2 linked regions of the Arabidopsis thaliana genome follow. The protein of the gene in region 2 interacts with the protein of the main gene of each other region in a pairwise test. Each region holds a gene or a part of one and is shown on either strand. Other genes may lie near its edges.

The links.
Region 1: the proteins of AT2G22760 (region 2) and SWC2 interact in binary tests that used the Arabidopsis thaliana proteins (3 or more experiments, as listed by UniProt).

What each region holds. Positions count from the first base shown.
Region 1 is NC_003071.7:15,405,856-15,411,575, forward strand, and holds SWC2 (DNA binding protein SWC2), read right to left. Parts: upstream 4,058-5,720; 5' UTR 3,834-4,057; intron 3,600-3,833; 5' UTR 3,576-3,599; coding exon 3,508-3,575; intron 3,370-3,507; coding exon 3,300-3,369; intron 3,123-3,299; coding exon 3,051-3,122; intron 2,949-3,050; coding exon 2,905-2,948; intron 2,821-2,904; coding exon 2,547-2,820; intron 2,446-2,546; coding exon 2,370-2,445; intron 2,297-2,369; coding exon 2,177-2,296; intron 2,084-2,176; coding exon 2,015-2,083; intron 1,916-2,014; coding exon 1,873-1,915; intron 1,658-1,872; coding exon 1,592-1,657; coding exon of another isoform or gene 1,516-1,591; exon of another isoform or gene 1,407-1,515; coding exon 1,211-1,406; 3' UTR 1,192-1,210; intron 1,116-1,191; 3' UTR 767-1,115; downstream 1-766. Other genes in the region: AT2G36730 (Pentatricopeptide repeat (PPR) superfamily protein), read right to left, coding at 1-718; UGT73C1 (UDP-glucosyl transferase 73C1), read right to left, coding at 4,676-5,720. UniProt on the Arabidopsis thaliana protein: Component of the SWR1 complex which mediates the ATP-dependent exchange of histone H2A for the H2A variant H2A.F/Z leading to transcriptional regulation of selected genes (e.g. FLC) by chromatin remodeling.
Region 2 is NC_003071.7:9,675,729-9,680,030, reverse strand, and holds AT2G22760 (basic helix-loop-helix (bHLH) DNA-binding superfamily protein), read right to left. Parts: upstream 2,188-4,302; 5' UTR 2,020-2,187; coding exon 1,579-2,019; intron 1,441-1,578; coding exon 1,063-1,440; coding exon of another isoform or gene 1,027-1,062; exon of another isoform or gene 935-1,026; coding exon 866-934; 3' UTR 529-865; downstream 1-528.

The sequences.
Region 1 (5,720 bases), 5.7 Mb from region 2:
CCATCACCTGTGAATGCACCAATTTCCCCAAGCTCAAGTTACCGCCACAAGCCGAAAGCAAAACCACCATTGTCGTCTCATCTGGACAAAACCGCTTACCAATCATCTCACAAAAACACTCAAACACCAAATTTAACTTACCATTCTCAACAAGAGCAGTCATAATCGAGTTCCAAGAAACAACATTTCTCTCAGTCATTTCGTCGAACACCTTCCTGGCATCAGAAGTTTTCTTACAAGTACCATAAAGATGGATCAAATTGTTCCCAACATATACATCAAAATCAAACCCATGTTTCAAAACCTCAACTTGAATCTGTCTCCCAGCAGTGAGACCTAAAAACGAAGCACAAGCCTTGAGAAGAAAAGGAAAAGTGAGCTTATTAGGTTTGATTCCTCGTCTCTTCATCTCAGAGTAAACCCAAATCGATTCCACAGGAGAATCACTTGAAGAATAGCCTCTACTGAGCATATTCCAAGTAGAAGGAGTCGAATCTGAAGAGTGAAGCAGAAGGGTTCGCGCAAAGGCAAGGTCTTTGGCGAGGGATAGTGATGAAACCCGTACAAGCTCGCTGATGATAAAGCTGTCATTTTGGAGAGAGGAGAGATGGATTTGACCATGGATCTGTAGAAGGTGTTTAATTGAGGAACATAGCTTGAGGAAGATAAGACATTGGTGTTTCCTGGATTTGAAGCATGAATCTGAACTCCAAATCATTATGCCATTGGAGCTCTTAGAAATCGCAAAAAGTTTCAATTTTCAAATCGGTGATATATTTATAGATTTGGAACGGTTTTAACGGAACCGAAGTAAAATCAAAAGCTTATTCGGTTCGGTTTAATGTGAAATTGATATTTATCAACCAAAACATATCATCTTTACAAGGTCAGTAATATACAGAAGATTACACTTTCTCTCTGATTCTGAGATGGGTGTCAGAGGTTTTGGTTAGGAGGATCAATCTCTGATTAGAGTGTTGTTGTTTCCATTTCAAAGCTCTGATCATGAAAATTTCCTCCATGAATGTTCTTCTCGCTTCTAATCTCTGAGAACCAAAACCATGGTCGTGGGAAGATCCATGAATGATGTATCACAATCATGTGAGATGCAGATTCTGCAGAGCATGATTACAACTGTGAGTTCATGATCATGTTTCATGAAAACTAAAGGCTTTATATTAATATACTAACCAAATCAGGGAGGTGTTTATTAATCTGAATCTTCTTCACTCTCTTCTTCAGACTCGGAGCTAAGGAAACGAGCTGAGCTTCTGAGGGAAAATGATTTGTTACTCTTTGGAATCTTCGTTCTCTTTTGTTTTGTTGCAAAACCTTTCGCCACTAGTGTATCAAACAAATCTCCCATCTCCATTTTCTTTCTCAAACCATCATGTTCGTCCATGAACCTTCAGAACAATAAACATAAGACTGGGAAATATCAGATTCTAACACTAATAAAGACAATGTAAATATCAAAGGCCTGTTTCACTCGATAACATTCATTTGCTTGATCCGTTAGAGGAAACAACAGATGAATACTTCTATAGACAAGTGAAAACATCGATGCAGCAATAATTGGATCAAGCAACACCTTTCACGTATTGCTTTGAAGGCGTCTCTAGTTGCATAAGGAAGACCCGTTTTTGGATCCCGGTACCTGTATCAGCAATACACACAACAGCTAAGAACTAGTTCTAAAATTGCAGAGAAAAGATAATCAGGTTTCTAGGTTATAACATCATTTCTTTTCGAGAAGTATATATCAAAGAAACTGATAACTTCTTTTTAGTAGACCTAAGAGAGTCTACTTGTGTTCATCCCAGAGATCTTGTTCTTCCGATGAATAAAGAAGAAGAACAGAAAAACTCTTACTTGGCAGGTAATCCCGTAATCACACATACAGCTTTTTCTGGATCTGGAAAAGAGAAAACAAACCAAAAGAAAGACAGAGATCAGTATAGATCAATATGAACACATTTATGTTCATCTCCAAACACCACTCAAAATTACTTACAGGGAACAGACTTCGTCGACAACTCTGAATTGAATGACGCACCATTACAGAATTCTAAATAGTTACATCCTGCATGTAAAGTTAAAAGTTTAAACAAATATAGTTCTTACTTTTCTGGAAAGATCCAATTAGACTGGATTACTATTTTACTGGAGAGCTTACCATCTTTTGAATGATACCGAATCTGAGGACCCTTGTAGACTGCTTTATGCACAATCGCTTTCTTTTTTACTTCTTCTTCCCTTGCCAAGACACGTTCTAAATTCCTCAAGTTCATGATTTCTGCAAGAACCTGACTTTAGCAATTTTGAGTTTCTGATAGAGCAAATCAGATGCAGCATCATAAAAGCCAAACCTGTTTGAGCAGCTTCCAGCAGCATTTCTTCTTGGGTCATCCGTTTTTCCTCCCCTACTTTTTTCCTTTGTATTGGCTGAACAAACACAAAAAAGAATTCAACATGGCAAGACTTAGAAAAGAGATTAAAGTGTAGCCATGAATGTAAATAGCTAGTGGGGATGAGTTCTGAGAAACCTTTGTTGTTGCTTGTATAGCAGCACGCAATGCATCTCTTTCTGCTTGCCGTACAACCACTGAAGTCCGTGTTGATTTCCTAATGACTTTCTCACCTTCCATATCTTCTTGTGCTTCATTCTCTTCTTTTTCTTCTTGTTCCTTGTTTCCCAATTCTTCACCTGGCTTCTCATCTCCAGGAATATATTCTAGTTGTGAAACTACCTTCGTCTTCTTTTTCTTTTTCTTTGAAGCAGTTTTCCCAGGGTAAATCAGCCGCTTCTTTGGCAGATCCCTACAACAATATGCAAAATTGTAACAAAATTAAAACAGACACACATAATAGCCATCATAAGACAAGCTTTGAAAAAATTCAAACCTCAATTCTTTTTCATTTACAGCGACTGCATCAGGCTCAGGCTCCTAATCCCAAACAAAAGGCAAAAGAAAGAAATTAAAAAGAATGGAAATATAAGCAAAAACCTTGATGAATAAGTACTCAATACATAAGCAAGACATAAATACATCGTCATTGAAGTCACTGTCAAACTCATCAGCAACCTCACGTTCTGCTTCATATTCATCATCATGTTCTTCCTGCAGATAACAAAAGTAAAGAGATACATAAATGTCAGCAAACACACGAAAGTTTCTGCGATAGTATCTTGTCTACAAATCTGATTTTTTTCCATTATATATTTTGACATCTAGTCTACCTTAACAAATCATTAACATCTCTTTAAGAGAGTAAGCTATATATAAAACAAAACAAACCTCTTTAAGAGCTTCTTGATTCCAAAACTGTTCATCTTCTTCTACTTCGTCATCAAGCAACTTGGTCATCCTGAAAAAAAACAGAAAACTGATGAATAAAGCTTCCACAAGAGAGTTTCTGATACATCTCAATAACAGTGAGACAAAACCACAATCTTCAGGTGAAACACATTCATCAGGTAAAAGCTTAAGCTCAAGTAATTCTTACCGTTTACCCCGTGTTGCTCTTGTTGTACGGTCCAAGAACACCATTGGCTCTTCTTCATCGATTTCCATTGATAACTTGCTCAACTCTTACTTCTACAAGTTCACAAATTTAAACGAAAATGTCATAACACACAAATTAACAAATCAGCAAGGAACCCCCAAATTAGGGTTTCTCGCAATTTCAAGACTTTACGATTATATCGAGAGGGAAACAGGAACAAAAACCCAAAATTTGAGTGATGTACACAGTAATCGAAGAAGAGCCCATGAAAGCGAGAATGAAAAGTAATTTGTGTGATGAGCTTAAAATCTCGCTCGAGGAGTTACCTTCGGAAAATTTTAGGTTGGAGAAGTTTCTTCGACGAGCACACGTCTTCGCCGGCGACCGCCGCACCTCTTTGATTCACTCTTTCACACACGGTGCCGCTGGTTCGTACACCATTGTTATTGGACTTGAGATATTAATGGGCCTTCCACTTAGACATTTTCAAAGCCCATATTATATTAGAAGATTCTTTTTGTAAAATAAAACTTACAATGATAGACCGCTGGGGAAAAACGTTTTATTTTTATTTTTATTAATGACCTTGAGTAATTTCTTTTTACACTGGCATATATAAAATTTTAAATTAAATTTACGATGAAAAATCGTAACGTAAATAATACCAAAAAAGAAAGATGTTAAGATATATAAATCGGTTAACAAAATTGTCCAGAAATGGTAATATCATAGATAGATTTCAATTTTCAAGTCATGCATGATGTCATTTTGGATATAACACGAGTTGTCAACTTGTCATGATCGAGAAAGCAAAAGTAAACAAACAAAAAGTGTTTCTACACTCCTCTAAACTCCAAGGAGCAAGCAATATCGAAGTTGCGATCTCATGCAGGACCACTGGAGAAGGTTTCTACACTCTTCTAAAGCTACAGAAAAAAAAAAAGTATATAAGAAATTGTGTTTTTTTCTTCAATTTGAGTGTACGAATTCGAATGCTTAATAAGTATGTACTAACTAAGATGTTAGTATAAGATTCGATAATAGAGACAATTTCAAATAAAACTATCATAAATTGTTCTTGAACAAAGAGAAGTAATCGAGAACAAACGTCACAATCATTTTTTTTGGGTAATACAAAAGAAAAGTTACAATCTAAGAAAAGTTACAATCATTTCTTGGGTTGTTCTAATTGCATTATGTCTTGTAGCAAGAATGTGATGTTGGAATGAGAAGAGCCTCCTTCTTCCACAGCCTTGTGAGCTAATTCTCCAAGCTCTTTCACTCTTTTTCTTCTCTCCTTAGCATCATTACTATCACCCATCAATTCCTCCACTGCCTTCTTTACTCCTTCTTTATCCACCAGTACTCCTATTTTCTCCTCTTCTCCCCATCTCATGGACTCTTCAACCCCAGCTCTCACACCGGCTTTTAGTATCTGCACCGCCAATTTCTCATTGCAGAATTGGTCTCCAAACAGTGGCCACGTGAGTAATGGAACGCCTGAAGTGATTCCTTCAAGAGTAGAGTTCCATCCACAATGTGTCAAGAATCCTCCAACGGCAGGATGTGTAAGGATAAGCATTTGAGGCGACCATCCTGTTATGAGAAGGCCTCTTTCTTTGATTCTTTCCTTATAACCGCTCTCTGAGATCCATTCAAGTAACTCGTTATACTTCTCCCAACCTCTTATGACCCAAATGAAAGGTCTTTGGGATTCCTCGAGGCCTAAGCCGAGCTCTTTGAGCTGAGACAGAGGAAGATTGCATATACTTCCAAGGCAAACATATAGCACCGACCCTTCTTCTTTAGAATCAAGCCATTTAATACACTCGTCTTGATCAATGTCCGCCTTGTTTCCCCTCTCAGCTTGGTCTTCTCCTAACTTGTTGCACAAGGAAACCGGTCCGATGCTCCATATCTTACCCGCTTTAACCTTCTTGTAGTCTCTAACATAAGCTGGCTCGAGCTCTTCAAACGTGTTAACAATCACACCATAAGAAGTGTTATCCCCTTCTGTCATTCCGTCAAGGAAGTCTTTCCAATCTCCAGCAACTAATACCATTGGAAGCTGAGATTTTGTGAACTCAACTCTGTCAGGGAAATTAGGAATGGGGAAGTATTCCTTGTCAGACTCTATAGTTTCCAAGAACTCGTGGTTTTGGTGCATTATGTGCGTACAAAGAAGATTGAAGCAACACATGCCATGAAAGATG
Region 2 (4,302 bases):
TGTTAGGTGGTACTCAAAGGTTTTGAATTGGCTTTTAATCGTACCGCGTCGTGCGGCAATTATTATTTGGTCACGTCCCTCCGATACTGCCCTTGCCCTATGACTTCTAAATAGTTATTGGTAAATAGTAATAAATTTGGTTGAATTTAGCGTCATTTTTTTTTGAGCAAATGTAGCTTTTTTTTTTGTCGAAAGCAAATGTAGCTAAGTTGTTGAATTTGCTAACTACTGAAACTTTCAAAATAAATTACGAAAACTATAATTGTATATCTTTATTGGGGCAAAACTATAGATAATTAAGTTAATTCTTTTAATCCATTTTCATGCCCTACTATTTTTTCGTAAATATTTCAGAATTTTGTAACATTGACCTTCGATGTAATTTTGCTTTCTACAATATCTTTTTAATGTCAAGCAATCTTCTTTTCCTTTTTTTTTTTTTTTTTGATTGGTTAAAAGGTTTGCTTTCTACAATATGTTTCTTGTTGACATGAATGTGAATTTCATTAAGAATTGAAGAGGGTTTGTCAATAATTACAAAATACTTTAACAAGTCAGAAGGCATTACGACCATGCTAAGGATAAGGCCACATTTGTTTTTTTTTTTTGGACAGCGGATAAGGCCACATTTATTTCTGCCACTTAATAAAAAAACAATTCTGTTATATTTTAAATTCATTATTAACAAACAAAAAATGTTACATCTAAATTAATTCTCAACGGTCGTTATCGGAAATAGCTTTGCTAAAAAAACACATCAAACATGTGGGCACGTGTGAAAAAATCTCAAGAAGAAAACGATAGCAAATCCACGAAACGATTGTGTCAATGTACAGTCTCAGGTTACTAAAACTTGAAAGAAGACCTAAACCATTGCGAGTCTCAGGTTCCGTACAAGATCCTTAAGTATACTCATCGAAAAATCTTTATCCATCTGCCACACAAAAAGTTAAGAAAGCATAATTGTAGATTATCAGTTTCATTAATACATCAATATTATATTGGATGAACTACGAGTTATCCATTTTAGTATTGCATATATATATAGTTATTAATGATCACCTGTGCAAGGACTGTGATGTCGAGAGTCGAGTCTCCGAATGGCAATACGATGCTATTTTCAATGCGCAATTGAAAGTTTTCAATTGTGTTTAGTATGTTGATCATGCACCCTTTGCTTTTCTCGCAAAGGATTCGGATGAGAATGTCATTTTGAGAAATTTTCGCTTCGATTTCTGGTAATGCTTGATCGAATTCAATATGAACTGAAGGAGAACATGATAGGTTAGGTTCCTCGTCGAAAAACACTTTAGATTTCTTTACAAGAATCATGGATTCCATTTGTCTCGTTGCTTCTTTTTCTTCCTTGAGCGTTCTTAGTTGTTCTTGGAGTTGTTTCATACGCGAGATCGCGTCATCAAGAATCGTTACCTTGTCCGCCTAAAAAACCACAAGATAGTTTTGTATTCTCAAAACCAATTGACACTGATGAATTATTATTTTTTCTTCACTATGAAAATATCTATAGTTAAATATATAACAAATTTATCGATAATTTACAATTTAAATTTGCAATACCTTCTTAAGCCCGGGAAGGAGAGCTGAAAGAGCAATGAATTTTTCAGAAAGCTTCTCACGGCGCTTTCTCTCGGCTAAAACATGTTCTTTCGCAAGAACCGGAGATCTTGTGCCATGAGAACATGTTTTTCTTTTGGTTCCACGACCAACCAATTTATCCATAATGATCTCCTCCGCGGCTGGAGAAGAAATAACATTACTAGAGAAATCAAAAGAAATCAGTTGTTGCTTGTTGTTGATCTTCATCATAGGCTTCACCGCTGCCTTTGGCTTCTCTCTGAGGCACTCAAAATGCATTTGATGATCAAACTTTGACGATTGATCAGCTCTTCGTGAATTTGATAAAGATTCATCAGGTGATAAATTATTTTCTTCGTAAATATTAAAGTCGAAATCAATGTCTACTAGTGAGAAATCGGGTAAGAAAAAATCTTCATCCATACCCGAATATGAAGTAATAATCGATAAAGAAATGTCAAATAGTTTCCTGATTAAGACAAAGATAAATCGAGAGACGTCTTTATTGTTTTGTCGTAAAGGGTTTATGAATAGAAAGTGTTTTCAGGTATTCTTACTATATATTCGACAACGAGACGCGGCTTAAATTATTTTCTCCACTCCATAATTATGTTGACCAGATTGTGTATATAATGCATAAAACGTGACGTATATGTATAAACTAAACATATTATGATCGAAACTAGAAGTCTTCTCATTATTGTCTATAATGATCGTATAATTTGTTGGCTTCTAGTGGTCTGAGATTCATATACGTGTTATGAATTTGAAAAAAAAAAAACTACGTGTTATGGACCCAAAAAAAAAAAGTAAGAGAAGAGAGACGTGTAAATAAAATAAGCACGTGTTTTTGGTGTTGAGCTTATTCCCACTCGGAAACAACAAGGATATAGAAAAACTCTGTAAAGCCTCGTCCCCGTCTTCCCGTCCATCTAACAACCTCATTACTTTTTATAAAGGAAAATATACAAAAGTTATACTTTATTATCTTTTATTTATTATTTTAATTGTAATTTTATCCAAAAAAAAATCATATGAAATGTTAAGTTTTATACCGTTTGCAAATTTTTCATCCAGAAAATTACATTGTTAAATTGAAAGAGAAAAAAAACAAAATTTACTTACGAAACAAAAAATTACAACAATTTTTTAATGAGTTTGAAAATTCATGAACATATCTCGACTCGTTATACTGCAATAAATTAGATTAATGGTGGATATGATATCGAGGGATATGTTGCAGAAGAAGTTATGATACCATGTGGATGTCGACATCTATACATTTATAAACAAGTTGTGTTTGATAATTAATCGATCATACTGTTTTGTCTTTAAACTCAATTTGATTCCGATAAGGCGATAACGACCCCAGACATAATAAATGTCCCTACTCCCTACCAAACGGGTTATTTAGTCTTAACTGCACTAATAAGAGGCCAGACCAGGTTGGTATGATGACGAATTCACATATACATCCACTATCCAGCCCAAAAATGCAATGGTTCTGGGCCATGGCCATTTAAAAACAAACATTTCATATGAAGGATTTATGTAAGAAAATTAAAAAGTTAATATGCCTACAATATAAGATCCAAAATTAAGGCTTCCAATTAGTCTGGGTCGGTTTAATTCACTAGTTCTCTGATGAAACGATTATGTACTGATTCGACTAATTCAATGTAATGACTAAACAAAAAAAAAATAAAAATGTAATGACTAAAAAACTGGATAATGAATTAATATGAGCAAAAAAAGAATTAATATGACAAACATATTTTTAACTAAATTATAAATATCAAAATTAGAAATTGTTCAATTGGTACTGATAGTTTTTTTTAAACAGTACCAAAAATATTAAAATTATAAATTGCCTTTGTCTCTAGTAATATTGGACCTAATTGTTTCTTCTTCACAAGCAATTTTATTAAAAAGGTGGACTAGCTTTAATTTGCTCATCATCCCTTCGACAAAAACCCAAAAATTGAAATGGTCTCGGCATTCGCAATTTGAGTTTGAATATATTTTTCCGTAAGCAGATCAGGAACTTGCTCTCCAACGCAAATTCGGAACGTTAGGAATCCTAAGTCTAACTTAGGATAAACGCCAATGTATGCGGCATGGAATTGGTAAGCTCTTGGAATATTCTTTCCGTAGTAATGCGTACTACAATTATATGTGTGTACATGTCTATCGTCACGATATATTTGATAATAAAGATTTGGTACGTATCTCTTGAAATGAAGTCACAACAGTGCCTTTTAAAAAGGTCAGTAGAATTATAAAATGGAGATTTTGTTAGAAAATTTTGGATACGAAATCTGGATAACATATAATATTTTTTTATTTATGATATAAAGTGAGACAAATGTGTATCCATGCCATGGTCCTTCCGGTTGGTGGTGCGGTGGGGACGGGATATGCCGCCGAAATATCATAAATCCAGCTGACGACCAATCTTTTACTCACACACTCTCTTTTCCTTTTTCTTTTTTATATATCATATTATTACATTAACACACTATTTCGTCAATGAGTTTGGATAGGACCAATCATTTTCATTTTATTATTGTCGTCCTAATCAAACTCACTGTTAAGGGGCCTTCCAATTTTGTCTTTTTCCTTCGTCCATAATTCTAATAGTTGGGAACTAACCATTTATATTATTCTATTTTATATACAAAAAAAATAGATTTTAGGTATGAAAAT